2 linked regions of the Pelodiscus sinensis genome follow. The protein of the gene in region 1 interacts with the protein of each later gene in a pairwise test. Links are inferred from orthologs where the notes say so. Each region holds a gene or a part of one and is shown in the gene's direction. Other genes may lie near its edges.

The links.
Region 2: the proteins of HABP4 (region 1) and RACK1 interact in a two-hybrid assay, tested with the Homo sapiens proteins (2 studies listed by BioGRID). The link is inferred for Pelodiscus sinensis from reciprocal best matches to the Homo sapiens genes HABP4 and RACK1.

What each region holds. Positions count from the first base shown.
Region 1 is NC_134716.1:43,957,058-43,964,086, forward strand, and holds the start of HABP4 (intracellular hyaluronan-binding protein 4), read left to right. Parts: upstream 1-3,924; 5' UTR 3,925-4,134; coding exon 4,135-4,438; intron 4,439-7,029. UniProt on the Homo sapiens protein: Ribosome-binding protein that promotes ribosome hibernation, a process during which ribosomes are stabilized in an inactive state and preserved from proteasomal degradation.
Region 2 is NC_134742.1:1,208,685-1,216,072, forward strand, and holds the start of RACK1 (small ribosomal subunit protein RACK1), read left to right. Parts: upstream 1-4,360; 5' UTR 4,361-4,452; coding exon 4,453-4,561; intron 4,562-5,911; coding exon 5,912-6,083; intron 6,084-7,388. UniProt on the Homo sapiens protein: Scaffolding protein involved in the recruitment, assembly and/or regulation of a variety of signaling molecules. Interacts with a wide variety of proteins and plays a role in many cellular processes.

The sequences.
Region 1 (7,029 bases):
GGACTCCTCGGGGTAGACGACGACACACACAGATGGACGAAGGAGATCCAAGCAACACGAATGCTCCTTGGGGGGAGGCTTATAAAGGAGTTGAGGTGGGAAAATGGGTGAGAGGGGTGCAGCTAGAGTGGGCGGTGTGCACAAGGAAAGAGGGTGGTGTGCAGAGAAAAGATGCGCACGCATGACATAGTGCAGAGTGCAAAGGCCTGGAGCCGTGTGCATAGGTGACAGGGAGGAGTGCAAAGCCTTCTTCCCTATAGGTTTTGGCAGGAAAGCTGTTTGAGGGAGAAAAACCCCTAAGACTCCATTTTTAAACTCCTCAGACTCCATTTTGGATCTTTGCCTAGAGCAGCATGGTCAACCCATCTAAAAAGATACAGAAAGAGCAACAGAAATTATTAGGGGTAAGGAACAGCTTCCATATTGGGAGAGATCAAAAACACTGGGACTTCTCAGCTTTTAAAAGAAATAATTAAAGGATGGGGGATATCTAGTAAATGAAAATCAGGAATGGTGTGGAAAAATAAAATAAGGAAATGTTAGCAAAGAAATAAATAACATAACACAAGAAGCTGACCCAATTAAATTTATAGGCAGCAGATTTAAAACAAATTATTTTTTCACAATCAATTTGTGGAACTCTTTGTCAGGAAATGGTGGAAAAGCCCAAACTATGGCAGGGTTCCAATAAAAACAAAATAAGTTCAAGGAGGATAGGTCCATCTATGGCTTACTAGCCAGAATGGGCAGGGATGGTGTCCCTAGCTTCTGTTTGCCAGAGCTGGGAATGGGTGACAAGGGATCATGATGATTGCTTCTTCTGTTTATTCCTTCTGAAGGACATGGCATAGACCACTGTTGGAACATAGGACACTGGGCTAGAAAGACTTTTGGTCTGATTGCCATTCTGATCTTTTATAGAGCTGAAATGTATCTGCCCTCTTGCTGTAACCTACTAGATTCCACTCCTCTTCCAGAGCTGAGACAGAGCCCAGGAGTTCTGATGGGGTCTCTCTCTCTCTCCATAGAGTTAGTAACAAAGTAAGAATATACATTACAATTTTAAGGCTAACCAGTATCCCTTAAGTGACTTGCCATAAGATGTCAGAATATGTTAGTGCTAGAGCTGACCGTGTCTAATATTTATTTAATTTTCTTTCTTTTATATAGGAATTAGATACAGTGCTCCTGTCAGCTAACCGCTAAATTGTCTACCAAAAAAGTAGAGTTTTCAAGTACTTTGGTAGCCCCTGAATAGATGATGTGTATGGAGGGGAGAGCGGATGGGGTTGGTTCCTCCCTTCTCCATTAAGCGCTTGGCTTGTACTGACCATGCTCAGTAACATGGATGAAGTCTCCGTCCTCAGTCTTCCCCCTCCTACTTTCAATCTCTTCCCACCCATCACGGCCTGCACAGGTCAGCCTTTCCCACCAAAATCTGAAATGGGCACCCCTGGTTGGATGTATTATTGGTGATACCTCTCCAGATTATTGTGCTATCAATAGATCACCCAGGTTTTGCATTCACAAAGGAGTGTAGGATCTTGGTGTTCTGCTCTAGGTCATTCATGGTCTATGAAAATACATCATATAAATTTTCCAGAGAAATCACTTGCACACTGGATCCTGTGCTGGACCTCAGTGTTGATTTTTGTGCTTTGAGAAAGTTGGCTACTGAGGTAGCAAAAGTGCTTAACTATCTCCAGAAGTCTGATCTTTGATAGTGATTTGTGGTGGGTCATGTGCAAGACTTAAGCAACTTGACAGAACACTTTAGTTTTCTCAATATTGAGTGCCAAGCCAATATTGAGTGGTAAGCTTGGGCAAGGAAATTCAGTATGATCTGATGGTCATTTTCAGTGTGTGCAAAGATGACACAGTCATCAGCATAATGAAGATCAGTAATGGTCTCCCTAAACACTAGATTTCGAACAGAGACATAGAAGATTAAAGAGCTGCCCATCCATTCCATATTTTATGTCAATGAAATTGGAGAGGTGATCTTTAACGAGGATGAAAAAGACTGCTAAATACAGTATTTGGGCAATAACATATCCTTGCTTAATCCCAGTTTTGATGAAGAAAGGTTCCCTCTAAAGACCATTACAGAGAACTGTGGCAATGATTTGATCACAGAAAAACCTTAGAATCTTAATACATTTTGGAGGGTAACCCAAATTTGGCTAAACCCTTCTACAGGACTTTGTGATGGACACATTGCTGAGACTGGTTTGATGAGAATAATGCTGAGTTTCAGGGTCTGTTCAACCAGAAAAGAAAAGAACATGGCATGTGGTAAAATGACATACCCGCCGAAGAAAGAGTCATATAAGCAACTAAAGGCTTGAGACCAAAGGAAAGTCTTTGATATAAAAAATAAATGGTAGTGAGAAAAAGCCAAGGACTTTGAGCTTTATGCTATTAAACATGACACAAGGAGCTTTTTTCAGGTAATAAGGGCCATTTACAGTCCATGCTTCCGAGGACTCACAGCACTCTGAGCCCAAGATGGGTTAAAATATTTTAAGGACACCAAAGCCAGATGGAAGTAGCATTTTGAGCATTGTGAGTCAACTTTTTCTGATGCCACTAGCAAATATAAACCACAACAACATGAAAAAGAATCACTTGTTGATCTTCCCCTCTTGAAGAAGTAACATGAGCAATTATGCAAACCAAGAACAACAGGTCAGCAGGGCCAGATGGCATACTAATTGAAGTCCACAAATTTGGAGAAGAAGTGGCAAGGAAGATCCACAATTTTTTTCTTCATATCTGGTATAATGAGAAGATTCCAGAAGACATGAGTTACAATGTCTTGTCTCCATTCTTAAAAATGGTAACAAGTCAGAGTATGTTAATTATTGAGTTATTGCTTTGTTATCTGCAACAGGGAAAAATTCTTGCCCATATGCTCTTAAACAAATTACAGTACTTCCTCTTGCTGAAGAAATATGGCCAGAATATCAGTGTGGTTGTAGACCATCCTGTAGGACAATTGACATGATCTTCATTGCCTGCCAAATCCAGGAAAAGTTACTGGAGCAAAAGTAGGATCTACTTATATCCTCATTGATTTGACAAAGGCCTTTGACTCTCAGTCCCAAAGCACTTAGAGTATGTTGGTTTGCCCTACAAGTCTGGCAAGGTTTACACCCTCCATACACACTTTTTAGTACGCTCTCTACCTATAGGACCTCCATTTTCCATTAAAAATGAATCTTTTAACTCACTTCTAATTTTTAGGCACCCATTGGCATGTGTTTGCTGGACCTAATTGTAAATCCAGCCCTAACTACCAATAATAGGGACCCAGCTCTGGGGCTGTCCCGTACAATGCAGACACTTAAGTATGGTGCTCGAAGGGATTTTCGGTTGCAGTATAATCATCCCCTCCAGAGGTGGTCGTAGGTGGATGCAAAGATTCTTCATGCCAGCTGGCTGCACCAAGATGGGGGCTGGAATGATCTGTGACACTTTGGGGGCAAAACATCTCACAACCCTGAGAGGCGCAGGGAGACACTGGCCTGGCGCTGTGCGCAAAGGGAGCCCCGCCCATTGGCTGTGGTCTGCCGGGCCCGGGCCCCGCCACTGCCTGCTTCATCCGGGCCACATTTGCTCATGAATAATCAAAAGCGGCATACAGAATGATTTGCCACACGGGGGGGGGGGGGGGAGGAGAAACAGTTACATGCTGCACGCGGGCTGAGAACTGAGGCAAAGCTACCCGCAGTGACGACACAGTCACTTTATTGGTCGGTGGCGTGTGGCCATCCCATGGCTTTGATTGGCTCCCATGGCCCTCACTGGGCCGGACCAAATGCGCTGATTGGTTGGTGGCGCTTTACCGCGGCTGGGATTGGTTGCCTGAGCTCGCGGAGGAGGGGGGGGGCGCAGCGCAGTGCAGTGCGCTGATTGGCGGCGGGCCGCGAGAGGTGCACGCGCTTTGGTTGGTCAGCGGCGCTCGAGGGGACGGGACGGACCGAGTGGCGATGGCGAGGTTGTGGCGGCCCTGCTGAGCCGGGCCCGGCTCTGTGCCCGTCCCTTGCTCCTGCCCTGCCGCGCGCCTCGGTTGCGCCCTGGTAGCGCCCGCAGCTGCCGCCGCCGCCCGGAGGTGGCGGGGTGGCCGCGGCGATGATGAAGGGGGCGCTGGGCAGCCCGGTGGCCGCCGCCATGCAGGAGAGTTTCGGCTGCGCCGTCGCCAACCGCTTCCACCAGCTGCTGGACGACGAGTCCGACCCCTTCGACGTCCTCCGCGAGGCCGAGCGCCGCCAGCAGCAGCGCAGGAAGCGCGATGAGGCCGCCGCCGCCGCCAGGAAACCCGGCCCCGGTCCCGGCCCCAGGCCCGGCCCCGCCGCTGGCAAGAGGGAGTCCCAGAAAGAGCGCAAGGTCCTGCAGCCCGAGAGCCCTGCGGCGCCCGGAGCCCCGCCGCAGCCGGGTACGGGGGGCGGCCCGGCCCGCGCACACCAGCCGGGGCGGGCGGGAGACAGTTCAGCTGTGCTCGGCGGGGGCTGGTTGGGCGGTGGGCCGGGACGCGGGAGCGTGTGTCGGTGGGGGGAGCTGCGGGTACCTGCTGCTCGGGGCTGGGGCTGGCAGCGGCTACCGCCTTGTCCTGTGCCGGGCGGGGTCTCTGACTGATCGCGCTGAGTATCTCCGAGGATAGCTGTGAGGCCGGAGATGCTGCGCTGTCCGGGGAGGGGGAAGGGAAGGGAAGGGATCGGCTCCGGGCTCCTGAGAGCGGCACAGTGCGTTGCCCGCCTAAAAATAGGAGTAGGCGGGAGTCCGCCCCCCTCCCCCGCCTCGCACACTAACTAAAGGACTGGGCCCTGGTCACCTAGTGAGTCTAGCGATATGCCTACATACTGCCTGACTTCTATTTCTCCCTGACCCTAATCTTAGGATTGGCCTCCCTCCCTCGCTGTCTCTTGCTCTCCCGTGGCTTTTTCTGGGGGAAAAGTAACTTGGGGATCAGCTGCTTATTACTTTAAAGAGGCAATATTTAAGTCCAAATATATAATCAAGTGACTGTCTTGGTTCAGAATTAAAACAGTACAGTTGGAACTGAAATTGTACCACTGTTCAACAATGGGTGACTCAGCTAGGGCTAACAGTATATTTAGTTTATCCGTTTCATGTTTTTATTCCCATGTCTCAACAATTTTCAGCAGAACATCAGATTATGAGATGCGCAAACTAAACTGGGGGCGTGTGAGTTACAACCTTTACATTTTAGAAATATGTCTATTCTTTGTTGAAGGCTACAGTGCTTCTGATAGAAATGCAGGGAAACTGCTGTTAATAGTGCTGAAAATAAAGTAAGTAGAGGCATCACAATTTCAAGTACATGAGCCAAAATAATTTAGGAGAGTGGTGACATTGAGCATTTATTGAGATTGTCGTTACCTTTTATCATTTTGGAGATGAGCCTGGATGATATTGAAACATACTGAGTGATTTAAGGATCTAATTAGACACTACTGATGTCTGTAAAGTGATTTAGAAGAAGAGTGCTAATGTTACGAAGTTGGCCACAAGCATTTGTGGGTCTATAAACAGACTGCAGCTTGTATTGCATAAGCTTAATGGAGCCAGGATATTACTTTTTACGTTCAGTGTTGCAGAATTCCTGCCAGAACGATGTGGATATGAAAGTTCACTATTCTTTTCTATCTTGGTTCTTGTATTGCTTAAAGTTCTGTGGTCTCTGAGCACCTTATGTATAGAACTGGTTACCAGGGCTGCTGTTTGTTTCTAATACAAAGTGAACTGTGCATATGTAAATATGGTATATCTAGATATTGCAATGAATTATTTATGTTTTGGAGCACTATATTAGTAGTTGATTTATTCTGAGGGGTTAGTAAACTGAACATCGTAGGGTGCTTCTGTGTGGTGCTAGTCTTCTCAGAGCTTCAGCGTAGGGATGTAAAATCCTGTTTAGTTAACTGGTTAAATATTAAGTTTAACCAAGGGTGAGCGGGGAGGAAGGTGCAGGAGTAGCACCACTGTGGATGGGGGCAGCTCCAGCCCCCACTGGTTAATCATAACCTTATTGGTTAACTGTCAGAATCTCTGCTTCAGTGCTGTATTTTGGCTAGTGTTCAGTTGGGTAGTCTCTTCATGTTGATGAACCAGAATGACAACTTTAAGAACATAAACACCAGAAGTGCTAGAGAGCTGACTCAGACTTTTCAAGAGCGCAGCAATACCTAGTTTTGACCTCAGCTCTGTTTGTTTCTTGCCTACATTGCTGCATAATTTCACTCAAATATGAGCAACAAATCTCTCTTTAATTGATTCCTTTTCAAGTATGATATCAAATGAGATAGGAAAGTCTGTAATTTTAAACCTCTGTGGCCGAGCGATGCTGAAGATCTGTGACCATGTTTGTTGCATTGCCTGCCTTGATATTTACCAAAATGTTCTAGGGGGAAAGGTCAATGTCACCCTGAGCACTGAAGAAACATCAGTAGAACCTCAGGGAGTTTACAGTGAGACTGGCACTAGGCTGGCTTTGAAGGATAACTCCTGGAAGTTAATACTTTGAATTGGTCAAGACTTCTGAATGCTAAGATTTGGAGCTAGAGCTGCTTGAACAGTACAGGCCCAACTCTTCTCTGTTAAATTTGGCAGGCAGCTTTTCTATCAAAGTACCTTGTAATATTATCTTCAAAGCTGAAGGCTCTGCCAGGCATCTGTGATCACTGGTACTGCTCTTCAGGTCACAGGAGGAGCTAGCTTTCCCCAAATAGGGAGGAGTTACTGTAAAGTGTCTAGCACAGTGGTTCCCAACCTTTTTCAGATGGGGACCCATTTTGACAATTCAGGAAGACTTGTTGACCCAGGGCAATTAAAAAAAAGTGTGAATGACTCCTTAAGAGCCACCTGGGGAGCCACCTGGTGACCCTTTTGAAATATAATGGCGACTCATATTTGGGTCCCGACCCCTAGGTTGGGAAACCCTGGTCTAGTAGCACTCTCCTGCTCTGTATCTCTGCATTGTAGTCTCTAGTCTCTCCCGCTCAGTTG
Region 2 (7,388 bases), on another chromosome or scaffold:
CCCTGGCCTGACACACTGGAGTCGAGAGGCACAGAAAGGGGTAAAAATTGTACCTGGATGTGTCCTTTGTTTAAGTATATATATACATAGACTTAGAGCTCTTTAAAGATTAAGCTGTCACTTGGTACCATTATTTCTATTTTCTATCTTTACCTTTTTCCTGTGATCATTTTTAAGACCTATATATATATATTTGCTAGCAGTTAAGAAATAGAGCAATAGCCATTGTAACCATATGATTTATAAGCTTCTTTAATAAACCTGTAACTGTTTAAGCTGTAACCTGACTCCTTCAGTTGCTGTAACAGAACCAAGCACAATTTAAAAGAACTTCAGCCGGTCATAAAGGGACAGACATAGGGAGAGCTTGGGCGTTTGGATCTGTGTCACTCCCAGGTGACAAGATCCGTTGGGGCACCTTTCCAGCCTTTCCTAGGCTGCCCTCTGCGAAGGAACTTTGTGTTCTAGCAGCTAAAATCTAAGGTGTAATAAGCTCTTCCTATATAACGGGGCGTCTGTTGGCCTGCTGGCCACCCTCTGCGACGGGACCCCGGTCCTAGCAGTAAAGACACGGACGTTAAACCTTTTCTCGGAAACACACACACACACACTGCCCTGACCGTCGGCTGACAGGGACAGGTCCTCAGCCCCAACCTGTTGTGTCCAAAGCCCCCCCCCCCACCTCTTCTGCCAGGTTCCCCACTGGAGCCCCAAACTCCACACTACAGTTGGAAGAACTTTGCCTCAGCTGCCCTGAGACCTAGTCCCTCTGGTAGTGGGGGAGGTGGTTCTACAAGCAAAAACTTCCAGATCTGCTCTAGGTTTGGGACAGTCGATGTGTCTGTCTGTCTGTTCTCAGAAAACCCTGCAGAAAAGAGGCAGAATCACTAGGCAGGTTAAAGTGCACCTCCCCCCAACAGGGACTGCCCCAGCCCCGAACCTCCCACCCTTGTAGGCACTTGGGGAAGGGGGGGGCTGAAACAATCCCCCCTCGATTCATAGGTCAACAAGTCTGGCTGCTCCCCTTCCTCAGGGCGTGAGGGGAAAGTGTGCACTTTGCTGCTTTTCTCACTCTGGCTGGGAGGTGCAGGGGGGCAGATGAACCTGGATCTGCCCCGGGTGGGGAGCATGCACCTCTCCCCTCGGCTGTGCCCCCTGGAGCTGCAGTGGCCATGGAGCGGGGCTTCTCCCCTGGCCACAAGCTGCTGCGGTGACCGAGGGCAGCCGGAACCCCTCACTCCCACCCCCAGCCCCAGAGCAACGACTGTAACAAACTTTGGACTTTTTCGTTTTCATTTCCAAAACAGAACAATGTGCTGAATTAAGGGGCCCGAGCAGAAAACACCCGGCCACAGGGCGCAACTCTCCTCTGTGCCCCTTCTTTGAGACCGCGAGGAGAAAGTAGCTTCCCGGAAATCCCATAAAACATCCCCCGGTAACGTACCAAGAGCGCAGCAGAAGAACGTCGTTTCCTATGGCTCCCCGTCTTCCTGCAGCCCGCTGGGCTAGTGACGGTAGAGGGTTCTGCTCCCGGACCCCACGCGAGTGGCCAGCGAAAGAAAGCACACGCCTCCGGTCTCAGCGAATAGCTCTAGCATCATTTGCAGGCAAAGTACGAAACGGACGGTGGTTTAGCGGTGGCCCTCCGAGGACCAGGATCCATTTCACATGAAATGTTCGGCTAAAGAATAAAGGCCGCAGAGTGAGTCCGGGGGAGAAAAACCCAGACCAAACGGTATGTAGAGGAGCAAAGATCACCTACCTGAATACTGCTGAACAACGTGAGACTCTCCACATAACATCCACGTCAAGGCAAATAAGTTTATTGCATGCTGTTAATACTGGAGAGATAAAGAGTTATCTGAAAGAAATACCATGGTACGAAACTGTTTTTCCAAGGGAACTGTTTCAGTTTCTTTGCCTCCCAGTATTACTAGGCTAAAACTGGTCTATGCCAGTGCAGCGAGGAGTCCTGTGGCACCTTATAGACTAACTGAAGTGTAGGAGCATAAGCTTTCGTGGGCAAAGACCCACTTCGTCAGATGCATGTAGTGGAAATTTCCAGAGGCAGGTATAAATATGCAGGCCAGGATCAGGCTGGAGATGACGAGGTGGATCCAATCAGGGAGGATGAGGCCCACTTCTAGTAGCTGATCTGGAGGTGTGAATAGCAAGAGAGGAGAAGCTGCTTTTGTAGTTAGCGAGCCATTCACAGTCTTTGTTTAATCCTGAGCTGATGGTGTCAAACTTGAAGATGAACTGTAGCTCAGCATAGTGATAGAAATAATAATAATAATAATTATAATAAACCATCTTGTTAGTCTTTAAAGTGCTACATTGTGCTGTAGCTCAGCAGTTTCTCTTTGAAGTCTGGTCCTGAAGTTTTCTGGTCCTATGCCAGTGATTCTCAATCTTTTTGTATGAAACAAAATACAGGACTATGTAGCACTTTAAAGACTAACAAGATGGTTTATTAGGTGATGAGCTTTCATGGGCCAGACCCACTTCCTCAGATCAACTAGTGGAAGAAAATAGTCACAACCATATATACCAAAGGATACAATTAAAAAAATGAACAAATATGAAAAGGACAAATCACGTTTCAGAACAGGAGGGGGATGCGGGGGGGGGGGGGGGGGGAGGACCCCTTTTAAAAAAAATTGTAAGTACCCCCAGTACCTACAGTTTTTTCAAAACGCAATGGTTTTTTTTCTGCCATTGCAACATGTTTAAACAACTTCAGCGTCACAGAGGGGGTGATAAAATGTTTCGGTGTGAAAAGTACAGAACGATACAACGCTGTAAAACTTAAAACAAAAATTCAGTTTTCTCCACATTTCAGTGGTGCAAACTTACCCCCCAGATGTCTCTCGGGTACCCCTGAGGGGACTCATACCCTGGTTGAGAAACGCTGGTCTAGACGGTGCTGGGTCCTGCCGTGAGGGCAGGGGACTGGACTTGATGGCTCTCGAGTTCCCTGCTGGGTCTAGGGTTCTGTGCTTTTATTCCTCCGTTCCTCTGCGCTGGTTAGGCCTCAGTTGGAGGATTGTGTCCAGTTCTGGGCACCACATTTCAAGAAAGATGTGGAGAAGTTGGAGAGGGTCAAGAGAAGAGCAACAAGAATGATGAAAGGTCGAGAGAACAGGAGCTAGGAGGGAAGGCTGAAAGAATTGGGTTTGTTTAGTTTGGAAAGGAGAAGACTGAAGGGGGACATGAGAGCCATTTTCAGGTATCTAAAAGGGTGTCACAAGGAGGAGGGAGAAAACTTGTTCATCTTGGCCTCTGAGGATAGAACAAGAAGCAATGGGCTTAAACTGCAGCAAGGGAGGTTTAGGTTGGACATTAGGAAAAAGTTCCTGCCTGTCAGGATGGTCAAACACTGGAATAAATTGCCCAGGGAGGTTGTGGAATCCCCATCTCTGGAGATATTGAAGAGCAGGTTAGATAAATGTCTATCAGGGATGGTCTAGACAGTATTTGGTCCTGCCGTGAGGGCAGGGGGCTGGACTCGATGACCTCTTGACATCCCTTCCAGTCCTGGTATCCTAGGATTCTATGATTTCCTCTCTCTCATATCAAAGAAGGAGAAAGAGCAACTAATGAAATGAAAGGGCGGACACTTTAAAAACAGGAACAAGGAAATGCATGTTCACAGATAAACTTCTGAAAGCAACTGTCGCAGCCATTACGGGAAGCCAACGGTTTATTGGAGTCAAAGGACAATTAGTAGGATGGATTATGAAAACACTTAGGTTATAGCTACACTCGCGGCTTCCTGCGCAAGTGCGGCTGTTCTTGCGGAAGAATCCGCAAAGCGTCCACACGGCCCGCCCGCTCTCACGCAAGGGAATTTACAGCACGGCGTGGGAAGAGAGGGCTTCTTGCGTGAGAGCTACACGCTCTTCTAACAGGGGTAAGCCCTCTTCCACAGGAGCTCTTGCGCCAGAGGGCAGTGTGGATGCTGAATTATTTTACATATTCCGCATGCTAATTAGCTCGCCTATTTTGCATGCTAATTAGCTCTCACATTTGCATATTCACCTGATGATTAATTTGCATATTCATCGTGATCATTAATTGACTAGAATGAATCAGTGGATTAAAATTAATTAATTAACATTAATTAATGTTAATTGGCCCCCTGCTATTTCACGTGGCCTTTGTAACCAGACCACAAGACCCAGCTCCCCCACCCCCACGTGGGAAAGGGCTGTACGGAAAAGGAACCAAGATGGCCGCCCCCATGGCTCCGCGGCAGACGTCGCTCCCATTAGAACGCCGCCATCTTGCGGGCCCTGCTCCCGCCCGGGGGCGGCCATCTTGCCGTACGGAAGCAGCCGCGGCTGCTTCCGCTTCCGGGGCAGGCCGGCGCTTCCTTTCCGCTCTCGCCGTCGCCGGGAGCAGGCCCAGGCCGGGGGGAGTCCGGCTCCGCATCCGCCGCCATCCGCCGCCATGACGGAGCAGATGACGCTGCGCGGGACGCTGAAGGGCCACAACGGCTGGGTGACGCAGATCGCCACCACCCCGCAGTTCCCGGACATGATCCTCTCGGCCTCGCGCGGTGAGCGGGACCATCGGCCCCGGCCCGCGGGGGGGGGGCTTGGGCGAGACCATCCCCCCGGCCCGCGCGCGCTCCCCTCGCGGGGCGGCCGTTGGGAGACACCATCTGCCCCCGCGTGCGCCACGGGCGGTTGGGCGAGACCATCTCCTTAGTCGAGCCCCCTCCCCTCCCGGGAGAGACCATCTCCCCCCCGGCGCGGGGGAGACGGGAAAGACCACCCGGGTGGGGGGAAACGTGGGGGAGCGGCAGGGAGAGACCAACTCGCCCACGTGGCGGGGGAGGGACCATCTCAGTGCAGAGGGGGGCAATGGGGGAGTCCATGTGCGGGGGGGGGAGGGGAAAGAACCATTCAGCGGGGGGGGGTCAGTCTTGTGGGTCAGACCACGTGGCTGGGGGGAGGGGCACAGAGTTGGGGTGCCTGGGGGAGGGGCCCCAGGGGATGGGGGGCAGGGCAAGGGGGCACCTTGAGGCGTGGGGGAGGGGCTAAGGGGTTGGGGGTGCACCGTGGGGGGAGGGGCTAAGGGGCGGGGGTGCACCTTGGGACGTGGGGGGAGGGGCTAAGGGGCGGGGGTGCACCTTGGGGTGTGGGGGGAGGGGCTAAGGGGTTGGGGATGCACCTTGGGGTGTGGGGGGAGGGGCTAAGGGGTTGGGGGTGCACCTTGGGGCGTGGGGGGTTAAATTCCCCCCTGGGGGTGGTTCGGAGGCTCCAGGCCGGGCCTCTGGGCGCTTGGGTTCAGTGCCCGGCTCTTCTTTCCCCTCCTCCCCTCGCCGGGGGCCTGCCCGCCCACCTGTCCGTCCCCCCCCCCCCCCCATTCCCTCTCCCCTCCATGCGCCTCTCAACCTCGGAGGCTCCTCCTGGCCCTGGGTGCCTCCGGGCCGCATTTCCCCCCAGCCTCAGTTTCCCCATCAGTGAGGCCCGTCCTACCTGGGAGGCAGTGACTGGTAGAGCTGCTGGGATAGGGCCGAGTTGGGGGGCGCCTCAGGTAGCTGACGCAGGGGGGCTGGGCTGGGGGTGGAGACCCAAACACCATGGGGGGGGTGGCCCCGTAGAAAGGGGCCCTGGGGCCTTCCCGAGTCCGCCTGCCCGGAGCTGTGCCAGGCCGCGCTGACCCGGTTGCTGGTGGGCTCTGCCCAGGTGGGCCCGGCTGCTCTGCGCCCCTCCTCCCAGCCCCGATGATTAAACTGGTTGTGCGTTGACCCTGCTGGGGGCTGAGGATCATGAATGCGAGAGCTGAGGGTGCCGGGACGGAGCGGGAGCAGAGCGCTATGGGAAGAGCCGCCGGTTGGGGAGACAAGGGGGCCCCAAAGCTCCCTGGGAGCGAACTAACGCCCCCCCCGCCCCGGGCGCAGACAAAACCATCATCATGTGGAAGCTGACGCGGGACGAGACCAACTACGGGATCCCGCAGCGGGCCCTGCGCGGCCACTCGCACTTCGTCAGCGACGTGGTCATCTCCTCCGACGGGCAATTCGCCCTGTCCGGCTCCTGGGACGGCACCCTGCGCCTCTGGGACCTCACCACGTGAGTGCCGAGTCCGATGGCCTGGCTGCCCCGCCCTTCACGGGGGGAGGCCGGCAACCGGATCCCCCTCCCAGAGCCCCTTGGCTTCTGGGTCCCCTTAGTGGGGCCAGAAACGGGGCAGGGGAACATTGGGAGGGGGGTCTCGTGACCGATTGAAATGTACAGTCTAAAACACGAGGGAGACTCCCGCACACCCGCTGCTCTGGGTCCCCGGAAACGTGCGCTCGGCCGTTAGGGGTAGCGGGACCGGCACCGCCCAGGGGTCGGCTCGGAGCCCCTGCCCCTGAAGAGGCCGTGCCGCCGAGACATGGCCGGTCTTGGGGACATCCAGGCGGGGGGGCATCGGGATTTTCGGAGGCGCCTCCCCCCAGTCCCAATGATTAGACCTGGTGTGTCTGTGCCGACCCCCCTCCGGGGGCGTGACGACATGTCCTGCAATTATGATGGGGCTGTGATGGGGGGACATACAAGATGGGAAGCGACTGTCTGGGAAGGAGCATGGCGGAAAGGGATCTAGGGGTCATAGTGGACCACAAGTTGAATATGAGTCAACAGTGTGATGCTGTTGCAAAAAAAGCAAATATGATTCTAGGTTGTATCAACAGGTGTGTTGTAAGCAAAACTCGTGAAGTCATTCTGCCGCTCTACTCTGCACTAGTTAGGCCTCAGCTGGAGTACTGTGTCCAGTTCTGGGTGCCACATTTCAAGAAAGATGTGGAGAAATTGGAAAGGGTACAGAGAAGAGCGACAAGAATGATTAAAGGTCTAGAGAACATGACCTATGAAGCCAGGCTTCATGAACTGGGCTTGTTTAGTTTGGAAAAAAGAAGATTAAGGGGGGACATGATAGCGGTTTTCAAATATCTAAAAGGGTGTCACAAGGAGGAAGGAGAAAATTTGTTCCTCTTGGTTTCTGAGGACAGGACAAGGAGTAATGGGCTTAAAGTGCAGCAGGGGAGGTTTAGATTGGACATTAGGAAAAAATTCCTAACTGTCAGGGTGGTCAAATATTGGAATAAATTGCCAAGGGAGGTGGTGGAATCTCCCTCTCTGGAGATATTTAAGAACAGGTTAGATAGACATCTGTCAGGGATGGTGTGGACGGAGCTTGGTCCTGCCTTGAGGGCAGGGGGCTGGACTCGATGACCTCTCGAGGTCCCTGCCAGTCCTATGATTCTATGATACCACGGAGGAGCATGGCCCTAGACCACTAGCCACATTTTAGGAGTGGGCCCCCAGCAGTAATTCTTGCCCCTCCTGCCCTGGGCGGAGGGAGGCAGAGGCGGTTGCAGGGAGGTGCCCGGG